3 linked regions of the Xenopus tropicalis genome follow. The protein of the gene in region 2 interacts with the protein of the main gene of each other region in a pairwise test. Links are inferred from orthologs where the notes say so. Each region holds a gene or a part of one and is shown on either strand. Other genes may lie near its edges.

What was found.
Region 1: the proteins of khdrbs3 (region 2) and bahd1 interact in binary tests that used the Homo sapiens proteins (3 or more experiments, as listed by UniProt). The two-hybrid records come from large-scale screens. The link is inferred for Xenopus tropicalis from reciprocal best matches to the Homo sapiens genes KHDRBS3 and BAHD1.
Region 3: the proteins of khdrbs3 (region 2) and inpp5d interact in binary tests that used the Homo sapiens proteins (3 or more experiments, as listed by UniProt). The two-hybrid records come from large-scale screens. The link is inferred for Xenopus tropicalis from reciprocal best matches to the Homo sapiens genes KHDRBS3 and INPP5D.

What each region holds. Positions count from the first base shown.
Region 1 is NC_030684.2:114,752,104-114,755,756, forward strand, and holds part of bahd1 (bromo adjacent homology domain-containing 1 protein), read left to right. Parts: intron 1-2,848; 5' UTR 2,849-2,948; coding exon 2,949-3,653.
Region 2 is NC_030682.2:144,623,627-144,627,705, forward strand, and holds the start of khdrbs3 (KH domain-containing, RNA-binding, signal transduction-associated protein 3), read left to right. Parts: upstream 1-1,152; 5' UTR 1,153-1,395; coding exon 1,396-1,480; intron 1,481-4,079. UniProt on the Homo sapiens protein: RNA-binding protein that plays a role in the regulation of alternative splicing and influences mRNA splice site selection and exon inclusion. Binds preferentially to the 5'-[AU]UAAA-3' motif in vitro.
Region 3 is NC_030681.2:126,699,935-126,703,587, reverse strand, and holds part of inpp5d (phosphatidylinositol 3,4,5-trisphosphate 5-phosphatase 1), read right to left. Parts: intron 2,328-3,653; coding exon 2,231-2,327; intron 1,533-2,230; coding exon 1,394-1,532; intron 398-1,393; coding exon 289-397; intron 1-288. UniProt on the Homo sapiens protein: Phosphatidylinositol (PtdIns) phosphatase that specifically hydrolyzes the 5-phosphate of phosphatidylinositol-3,4,5-trisphosphate (PtdIns(3,4,5)P3) to produce PtdIns(3,4)P2, thereby negatively regulating the PI3K (phosphoinositide 3-kinase) pathways.

The sequences.
Region 1 (3,653 bases), on a different chromosome or scaffold from region 2:
CGTTCACTGTTCTAGATAACCAATAGCAACCAATCAGCAATACTCTTTTGTGGGTCTCGTTCAGTTTGAAAAATGAAAGCAAACATCTGATTGGGTGCTATAGGTAAAGCTGGCCAGAGGTTTTTAAAAGATCTTTTCATTATCATAGGACCAAGCTTATCCTAAAACGATCAATAGGGCTGTGGCACACGGGGACATTAGTCGCCCGTAACAAGTCTCCCGTTGCGGGTGACTAATCTCCCCGAAATGCCATCCCACCGGCAAGAATGTAAATCGCCGGTGGGATGGCATATGCGGTACTGAGATTTCCCCAAAATCGCTGAAGTTTCCTCTCAAGGCAACTTCCACGATTTAAGGGAAATCGCGGCGCCACGTATGCCATCCCACCGGCGATTTACATTCTCGCTGGTGGGATGGCATTTTGGGGAGATTAGTCGCCCGCGACACGGGAGATTTGTCGCGGGCGACTAATTTCCCCATGTGCCACAGCCCTTTAAAAGTACAATTTGTCCATCAACAAAAACGACCATTTTCGACCATATTCTGTACCTGAAGCTAGGAAAACTGCCTGTTTGGTTCTGCAAACAATTAGACAATGGGCAAATTCTATTGTTAACCTGCTCAGACAGATGTTGGATAAAAATCTCTAGATGTACGATTGTTTGGTGCCCATTAACTCTACGATAATTTGATGGATTTTTCGGATCACATTAAAATTGGTCGTTAGGCATAGTAAAATGTTAAAGTGTATGGGCAGCTTAACGAGCCAAAAAGCCACTTGGTTGCATTGCCTGGAAGGTTCTGCCATTACACTGAGTTAATGTTGCCATTATAGGGTGTCGTCACAGTGACAGCACAGAAAACTACCGTAGGGCAGCGCATTGTGACAGGCGGCGGAGGCTGGGAAAGCAGAGCCGTCAGTGTTTTTTCCGAGAGCTCTGTAATTCCTTCTCTTAGTCACGCCGACTTTCCAGGGAATTCACAACAGAAGGGAGGGGAGGAATCACAAGAATGCTCACCGTGCCTTCACTAACCACACGAGGCAGAGGGCGGGTTAAACGTAAGCACCAGGGGAATGTAAGTAACACGCCGCATGTTGTCTGGCAATCGGAGGCTGCTACCAGCCGCTTTAATCAACACACACACTGCTGCCAGTCTTGTGCCCCTAGCAGCGCATTGATGCAGATGGGATTCCTAGAGAGGTGATGCTGGGGTTCCGCTCGCACACACTACATCACTGAGATGGCTCATCTCAAATTCTTCATTAAAGTCTCATTGCCTCTTTGATTTTCTCCGAGAAGTTCCTTCCAGCTGTAATTAAATAGGTTATGCATTGCTGTGGAGCCTCCGTCAGATTTGTTTGTTTTCTCAGCACATTAGCAAACTCTTAGAGGAGAATTAAAGACAGCACTTCATCCCGTTGCTGCCAAAGCCATCCGTAATATGGCAGGGCAGCCCTCCCACCAGGGGTTAATGGTTTTACTAGCCCTGTGCTAGGGTTCAACCTGCCTGTGCATTTATTCAGCTGATCCTGCCCCGGACTAAACTCATAAACATGTGTTTTTGATAGAATCTGAACAGCGAAGTACATGTTGCTCTATATAAAATTATACGCTGTTAAATCCGCAGAGCTGCATTAAAGGAACCATTATTTTATTTTTCACTCAAATCTTCATAATGCTGTTCTTTTTTGTCACATTCAGATTTCATATAGTTACACATTAATTATTTAACGCTCGCCTCACTAGGCACCAGTAATAACCAATGACGTTAATAAGCACCATTTATGAGGATATACTTTACAGGATACCTATGGCTTTTATGTATAATAGATTAATGTTTCCCCAAGCTTTTCGAAGAACAGACTAATAGAGCAAATGCAAAAAACATTTTTTCTTACAAAGGGTAGTTCACAGTGGTATTGATATCTGATTTTTTTCTGTAGCTCTTTAGCAGTTATCTGGTTGCTAGAGAGAGCAGAGAGTGCTCCTTTGAGACAATTTGCATTTGCTCTTCATTTTTTATTATTTGTGGGTTTTTATTCAGCAGCTCTCCTGTTTGGAATTTGAGCAGCTGTCTGGTTGCTAGAGTCCAAGTTACCTTAGCAACCAGGCAGTGGTTGAATGAGAAAGTGGAATATGAGTGGAGAGGGTCTCAATTAAAAAGTTATGTAACGAAAAATGACAATAAAAATAAAATTGTAGCCTCACAGGGCAATAATTTATAGGCTGCCAGGGTCAGTGGCCCCCATTTGAAAGCTGGAAAGAATTAGAAGATGAATAAAAATAATTCAGAAACAATAAAAAACAAAGAACAGTTTTCAAAGATGATAACGGTTGGTAATTTTATAACATATTAAAAGTTAACATGACGGTGAACTACCCCTTTAAACTCTAAAAAATAAAGAGCACTTGCAGATGTGCTAGGAATAGGCCATTCCATAACATAGTAAAGGTTAACTTTATGTTGAACTACCCATTTAACTTGCATTTGATACAAAAGAAGGGGGATAAGAACAAGCATTCATAGCCACCCCATACTACTTCAGAAAGAAGAGAAGTTTTTTCCTGACCCCAAACTGGGAATCTAGCAAGTCCTTAGAATTAGAGCAACATGGCAGTGCATATAAATACTAGTGATTACTATTAATTGCATCTGTTTAAGTTATTTATTTTTGTAGTGCTACGTTCCTTGCCTAAAAGGTTTTAATTTGTTGGTTGTGGAAAGCAAATTGAGGACTTACATGTAGAAAGTACATTACATACATAAATACATTCAAATAGTAGTTTACGGTGGGACATTTTCTATTTGTATCTGCAATTGATTATTTTGTCTTTTTTTTCTACAGGTACACACAGCTGTCATCATGTTTGAAAAGGAGCATTATATTTTCTACTGAAAAAGAGCTTCTAGACGTGCAGACCTAAGTGGTGTGGACAGCAGATTTTATGATGGATACCACCCAAGCAGGTTGCACAGGTCAAAGAGCTTTTAAAGACATAGCTTGCCAGTCAAGGATTTCCAGCGTGGGCAGAGGAATATTAAGCAAGGATATACGGAAAGCATACCCACTGCGGAGACGGCTGTCACCAGCCATGAATGAAAAGACATGTACTGTTGTCCTTACCAGACTGGAGGATGTTGCTGGGTCATGTATTATGGAGGGTCAAAGTGGGGCCCAACCAAATATCTCTTGTTGGGTGGATGACTTTGGCACACTGAAGGTTCATACTGGGCATTCTTCCAAAATGCAAAGGGTTACTCCAAAAGGGAAGAGATACTCTGGGGTCACGTCCAGCATGGATAATATCCGTGATTTTCCCGAGCCCCGGAAGCGAAGACTAGCTTCTCTGAATGCAGAAGCGGTCAATAACTTGTTATTTGAAAGAGATGATGGGTGTTCTCGTAAGATTAGAAAGGATTTTGGAAAAGCTAGTGAAAATGGCATATCAGATGAAGGTTGGACTAACTTAAAGCCAAACTGTCACCTGCACAGCAAAAGGAGCAGACAGAGATGCATGGCATCCGGCCAGTTACCTGATGAAGTATTTGAAAGCGAAATGAAGGTGGAGGATAAAGTGGTCTCCTATTCTCCTGCTCCAAAAAGACTAGCGAGCCTTAATGCTGTGGCATTCTTAAAGCTCACAAGTGAG
Region 2 (4,079 bases):
CTTTGTGTAGGAGACAGTGATTTATGATAGGTTGGGGGGGTCCCACAATTTGGTAGAGATTTAGGGGTGTATTGGTTATATGGGGGCAGAAATTAGTTGAGGGTGCCCTTTGTGTAGGAGACAGGGATTTATGATAGGTTGGGGGGGTCCCACAATTTGGTAGAGATTTAGGGGTGTATTGGTTATATGGGGGCAGAAATTAGTTGAGGGTGCCCTTTGTGTAGGAGACAGGGATTTATGATAGGTTGGGGGGGTCCCACAATTTGGTAGAGATTTAGGGGTGTATTGGTTATATGGGGGCAGATATTCAGGGAGGGTGCCCTTTGTGTAGGAGACAGGGATGTAGGAATAGTTGGGGGGTCTGTAGTTTGGTAGAGATTTAGGGGTGTATTGGTTATATGGGGGCAGATATTCAGGGAGGGTGCCCTTTGTGTAGGAGACAGGGATGTAGGGAGGGTTGGGGGGTCTGTAGTTTGGTAGAGATTTAGGGGTGTATTGGTTATATGGGGGCAGATATTCAGGGAGGGTGCCCTTTGTGTAGGAGACAGGGATGTAGGAATAGTTGGGGGGTCTGTAGTTTGGTAGAGAGTTGAAGAAGGTACTATGGGGGCAGTAATTTGGGGGGGGGCAGGGGGTTCTATGGGGAAGCAGGGGGTTAGTAGTGGGGTAACATGGGAACTGAGATTGTGTGAGGATTGGCTGTGGGTATCAGGCATTAGAGTAGAATTGGGGCAGAAGGTACAGGGGGGGTTAGTTCCTATCCGGGCAGTGGAAGGAAGACATAGGGTAGCGGTATAACGGGTAACGGGACTGTATGTGGGAGAGTTCGGTACCGACTGCAGCAGAACATCGCAGGGGCCCCGGCTTGGGCTCCGCACCCACAGCGGCTCAGTAACGTACTCCCGGCCCCTCCCGCACTGTCCCAGCCCCGCCCATTCAGTCAGTCCCAGCTCCGCCCATTCAGCACCACAGACAGCGACCAACGGGGAGACTCGCTAAATATTAATGAGCCTGTCACTTACTCCTTCCCACCATTGGTTGGGAACAGACAAGGGGCGTGTGTATGGGCGGGGTTGGCGGAGGAATTTGCTTGTTCCCCGCCCAAGGGAGGGAAGCGGTGGGTTGGCGCAGCCGTTTGTTTTTAAGGAGACGTGAGTGGGCTGCTGGGTCAGTCGGAGCCGGGCGGGCTGAGAGGAGGCTGTGTGGGAGCCGCACGCTGTGGGTACGGGGAGGGCAGTGACAGTGACTCTCTGTGGCGGAACTTCGCTCTGACAGGGATCCCTACGGGCTGCTCTATTGCCCCTGCCGCGGACTATTTCCAACCCCTTTGGGTCGCCCGGACTGGCCCTCGGATTCCCGCTGGATTCTCCGGAGTATTAACCCCCCTACCCCCGTATGGAGAAGTATCTCCCGCAGCTCCTGGCTGAGAAGGACGCGCTGGATCCGTCATTCACTCACGCACTCAGGATGGTGAAGGAAGGTAGGAACTATTGCCCCCCCCGGGGTATTATATTGTTATATTATGGGGGACACTTGCACTGGGGGTGACCTCTGGGGTATATTTATCCTGTGGGGTACAGAATGCAGTGCGATTCCCCCCCCGGGTATATTTTACTGGAACTGCCCCACTGGGGTACATTCATTCCTACCCTCTGCCCAGGAACAGCCCCCCTGTACTCTACTGCCCCCCCAAGGGAACTCATGCACTGTAACTGCCCCACTGGGGTACATTCATTCCTACCCTCTGCCCAGGAACAGCCCCCCTGTACTCTACTGCCCCCCCCATGGGAACTCATGCACTGGAACTGCCCCGCTGGGGTACATTCATTCCTACCCTCTGCCCAGGAACAGCCCCCCTGTACTCTACTGCCCCCCCATGGGAACTCATGCACTGGAACTGCCCCACTGGGGTACATTCATTCCTGCCCTCTGCCCAGGAACAGCCCCCCTGTACTCTACTGCCCCCCCATGGGAACTCATGCACTGGAACTGCCCCACTGGGGTACATTCATTCCTGCCCTCTGCCCAGGAACAGCCCCCCTGTACTCTACTGCCCCCCCATGGGAACTCATGCACTGGAACTGCCCCGCTGGGGTACATTCATTCCTGCCCTCTGCCCAGGAACAGCCCCCCTGTACTCTACTGCCCCCCCATGGGAACTCATGCACTGGAACTGCCCCACTGGGGTACATTCATTCCTACCATCTGCCTTGGGACAGCCCCCCTGTACTCTACTGCCCCCCCATGGGAACTCATGCACTGTCACTGCCCCACTGGGGTACATTCATTCCTGCCCTCTGCCCAGGGACAGCTCCCCAGTACTTTATTACCCCCCCCCCAAGGGAACTCATGCACTGGAACTGCCCCACTGGGGTACATTCATTCCTACCATCTGCCTTGGGACAGCCCCCCTGTACTCTACTGCCCCCCAAGGGAACTCATGCACTGAAACTGCCCCGCTGGGGTACATTCATTCCTGCCCTCTGCCCAGGGACAGCCCCCCTGTACTCTACTGCCCCCCCAAGGGAACTCATGCACTGGAACTGCCCCACTGGGGTACATTCATTCCTACCCTCTGCCCAGGGACAGCCTCCTTGTACTCTACTGCCCCCCCAAAGGGAATTAATTCACTGAAACTGCCCCACTAGGATACATTCATTCCTACCCTCTGCCCAGGGACAAACCCCCTGTACTCTACTGCCCCCCATGGGAACTCATGCACTGGAACTGCCCCACTGGGGTACATTCATTCCTACCCTCTGCCCAGGGACAGCCTCCTTGTACTCTACTGCCCCCCCAAGGGAACTCATTCACTGGAAGTGCTTCCCTGAGACATATCATCTCTTCCTCCTCTCCTAAAATTGGTCCTACTCAGTAAAGTACCCTCACCATCATCTATCCATCTATCTATCTATCTATCTATCTATCTATCTATCTATCTATCTATCTATCTATCTATCTATCTAATCTACCTATCCATCCATCTCTGAAGAATAAGGTAAATCAATGTTCATTCTCCAAAGCACATTCACCTTAACAACCTCCTATGGAACATGTCCCTCAGCTTCCCAAACAGTCATGTTAAGAACCCCCAAGCCCTTTATACTAAGAATTCACCCCCCAATGTACAATACCACCCAAGGATTTTACCTCTACCCTCAAGTCAAAGCTGCTCATACTCCGGGGACTGCGCTCCCTAAAGCTCCCCTATAACCTTATCCTCTCTAGGGAACTCATCTCTCAACCTCTTCCAAAAATCACAATGCTTGGGGCAGGGGGGGCTCTCTCTTCTTGATGGCCAGGATTATATCTAGAAAGTCTTTTTGTTTTAAGAGCAACCCCTTGGCTAAACTTAGTGATGGGATTGGGTAGAAGGACTGGAATCTTGAAATCTAAATTGCTCTTTTGGAGAGGGTGGGGGGGTAATATGTTTCCAGGCTCTGCTTTCACTCTGGTTGGGGTGGGTACATAGGATAACGTCTCTGAAATGCAAAAAAATCACATTGTGGTATTGGTACCTGACCTAAATCTGTCATTACCTGTTCTAGGGGGAAGCTATGGATTTGAACTACTATAGCTCCCTCTGGGGGTCTTGTACTTAGAATGCTCTTGGTGGTGGTGGGGGGCTGCGTTCTAAAACTACACTCACTCCACCTTCTAATGTATCTATAGCATATTGTAGCTCGCCCCGAGTCCCTCTGGGAAGATCCAACGCCAGCTGTTTCCCTCATGTTAATTCTATTGAGATCCGCTGTATCTCACAATAGGTGCCACATATATAGCATTCTCCGTCTCTCTCTAAGAGACCGTGGCAGTCACACCTACAGAGCAGTCTCCATCTCTCTATTTCGGTGGAAGAGAGCCCACCCCAAGGTATTGTCATCGCTTTATTTTTACCCTGGTTTCAGTATAGGAATCCTCAGGGTAGGACAACATGCAGCCCCGGGAAAGGAATCCTGTTGAATAAGATTTAATTGCTCCTCATCCGATCAAAGCGAGACGTCTCCCAAGTACAAAGAGCAAATTTTATGACCCCCAATATATATATATATATACGAATGTACAAAGTTGTTTTGTGC
Region 3 (3,653 bases), on a different chromosome or scaffold from region 2:
TGCTGGCTCCTTCTGAAAGCTCAGACTCAGGCACAATGCACTGAGATGGCGCAAACACACCAATATTACAGCTAAAAAAAATAGATTTGTTTGTTCAAGAATGAAATTTTAAATTGTAGAGTGAACAGTGTAATTTAGACACCATAAAATCAAGATAGAATCGCTTTAAGATCCTATGTGCTTATATATGGGTCAATAATGAGCTTCCACTTACATCCATCTCCCAGTTAAACATTGGCAAGATACCTGCATACCTGCATCTGATATAGTATGTGTCAACTAACTTACCGAACTGAAAAAATATCAGGTTCTCCTTTCGCTCCAAATTCAGCTGGTCATGGGCAAGCAGCTCCTGATACTGCTGCTGTTTGATCTTCTGGATTATGTTCTCAGCTTCCTGTTCAACATGCAAGTTATAATACATACTATAATATAAAAGTCCAGTAACTACTATAAGAAGGAATGAAGGAAAATTATGCAGTAAAAGGAAGGGAATGTGAGGAAAGAAAATGGAGCACAGAGCATGTGCAGGAAATCAGCAGAAAAGAAGATGGGGAGCTACTGGGGCATTTTGGGGGCACAGATCTTCCCTGCTAAAGGGCTGTGGTTGCCTTGGGCTGGTACAGAAGCCCAAAACATATGATGTAACATATCTAGACTAATTCTATGTTGACCTTTAGTTATCCTAGAGGGGATATGCCCATCATATTTTTTCAATTCATTGTCAAGATAACTATCACTGAGGCAGCACATGAATGATGTGCAGACCTTCTTCTGCTCTTGTTCACTGAATAAGTATCGTACCAGCCACTTGTATCAAAGATATGCAATTGAAGCCAAATGGAAGAGGCTTGTGCAGGAGCATATCCTGCCTACACTTCCTTCTTCAGCTTCTTTCACACTGACACAGATAGGGGTTGGAGATGGTAATGGTTCAAGGGTAAATATCTTGATTTAAAAAAAAAAAAGACCAACTGAGAAAATGTTTCTTGCGACAGAAGCTGTTCATATTTGGACACTTGTCCAAAGGTGAACATTTAGCTTGAACTGCAGCTTTAAAAAGAAAAATAAGGTGGTGCCACAGGTAACAAAAAACAAACAAACATGGGTACTGGTCTGATTTCAATGGGATGCCAAAAGAGGCTGTCAGTGAAACCCTCCATCCTAATTCCCTAGGGCCTCTTTTTAGAAATACCACAAATCTATAGGAGCTAGTCAGCAGGAACAGGGTCGGACTGGGCAAGCATGTCATGGGAAAAAACCCAGTGGGCCACACCGACCCAGACCTGATTGTGGCAAAGTAAGTCTGTGGCCTTAATGATGTATGCAACTTTCACTTTACAAAAGACCATTCCAGCAATTCTAATTCAGAACCACCCCTGCAGCTGCTTACAGTGTTAGGAAGTTGTAAACGGTAGTTTAGATCCCCGAGCCAGAAAAGATGAGTAAATCGGTGTGTGAGGTTGAACGGGCTGAGCTTCTTATCCCCCAGTATCAGAAACCGCAGGATGTTGAAGTAATTCTGATTCCTCCTAAATGAACGAGCGAGCAAAGAAGACACGTTAGGAAGTTGTAAATAATAAGTTTGATCTCCGAGCCAGAAAAGATGGGCAAATCAATGTGTGTGGTTAAATAGGATGAGCTGCTTATCCCCTTAGGCTAGAAACCACAGGACATTAAAGTCATTTCTGATTTATTTTGAATGAAGAAGGAAGCAAAGCACACACACATGTATAGCATAACTATACAGGCATCAGCCACAGTAATAATTTACTGTTATACTGTACATTGGAAAGAGCATCTATGCACTAAAAGACCCAGCATTTAACATGAGCTTCATCTTGTGGAAATAATAACGCTTTAAATATAGTGAATTAAGGGAAATGTAAACCCTGACAACAAATTAGTGTAAAATATTCATAAAGCTCCTCTAAGCACTTTTGCAGTCTACATCCATTTTCTAGTTTTCAAGATATCAGCAACTTTTCAACTTCTAAAATAATGAATTTGAATCAGCAGCACCACCTGCTGGTCATTTTGGCTAATAAGCTCCAGTCAGCTGAAAATGTATTTCCTGAGGAGATAAACACTGTAACAATGTGTGTAGCAAATTTATTATACTGGCTGTTTAAAACTGCTAACAATCTAAGGTTCCCATAACAGCAATACTGTATTACGTAAGGAGCCTTTCAGGCTGTGAAAACCTCCAAAGCCAATACCTGCGACATACCTGAGTTTCTTTTCACTCCCAGATGTAAGATGACTGTTTATAAAGCCAAACGATGTTCCATTAAACATGAAAGCGGCACCAACTGCACCTTTATTTCCTAAATAAAAGAGAAACAGTTCTGTTTATTTTCTTTTGTTTTTATTTTGCCTGTTCTAGCTTAATGATAGGAACTGACAAGTTCCTATCAGTTAAGCTCTGTGTGTTGTGTTGCCCAATCCACTCCAGCCCAGAGATTCACTGAAGGTCTGACACTTAACATGCTGAACTGTGCAGGCCAGGAAGAACCATAGTTGTCAATTACACTTGGCTGAGCTGCACACAATCCTCCTATAGGCTGCTACTGTTTACCTTTCTACTCCACTTATAGTAGGATCATGCCACCTCCAATCCAGTTTGCTAAATCTATGCATACTGGACATCAAACTGCTCAGTAGGCCCATGGCGTTTATATTTAGGATGTTTTTTCTTGGTACCTAATGCTTTGTGGGAGATAAGGTGCTTGAAAGCAGAAGCATTGAGGCGATTTTTTTTTTTTTTTTATAGAAACTGCTAAGTTCAGAAAAGCATTGCTGTTTGGTACTTAGGAGTAGAGTGACATACAGCAGAATATGTATGTTTCTGGGGATAAACCTAAAGTTTTTTTGGAATGTAAAGTATGCCATATTCTGCTGTAGTGCTTTGAAATTTCGGTAATTTACTGCTGGGAGTTTTGATCTGTAGAAATCAGAAATCTCTGTAAAGGTGGGCATACATGTTCAGATTTTAGTCTTCTTCTGAAAAAATATTGGAATATCGATTGTACGTTCAACAATCTAAAACTAACTTTCAGACTGAAATTGTAGGATAAAGCCCAAAAAATACAAATCGGAGGATGTTCTGAACATGAAATAGTTGGCAGACACCAATCGTACAAAAGTGACTTCCATGGTACGTCCCCCAAGGACTTCGTCCAATACACATTTGCAGATTTTATCATTATCCGACTTAAATTTTGAAACCTGGCGGATTGTCTAAACAACTCATCACCTCATGGTACGAAAATTAGCGGTGACGATAATTCTGAGGCCAGAAACAGCCTATTTAGAGCTCTACATCTTGTTCCAGAAGTGGAAATACACAAAAACACGCAGCGTTAGAAAGCTCAGGTTCTCCTGAAAAAAATGATATATAGTTTTCCTAAGTAAATAATATCTCATGGGTTTCGATAACAATAATGTGTGCCAGTGGTTCTTGAACTCAAACAAAAAGGCTTTATTAACTTGATCCACACAGACGTACTTGAATATCAATAAAGCCAGATATATACATTGTGCAGGTGTATGGTATATACTCACAGTTATACCTTCACCTATACCTGCCCCTCAGGTTCAATCAATGAAGGAATGCTTAGCTCAATAGAATGGGTCACCCCCCAGCTTTTAGA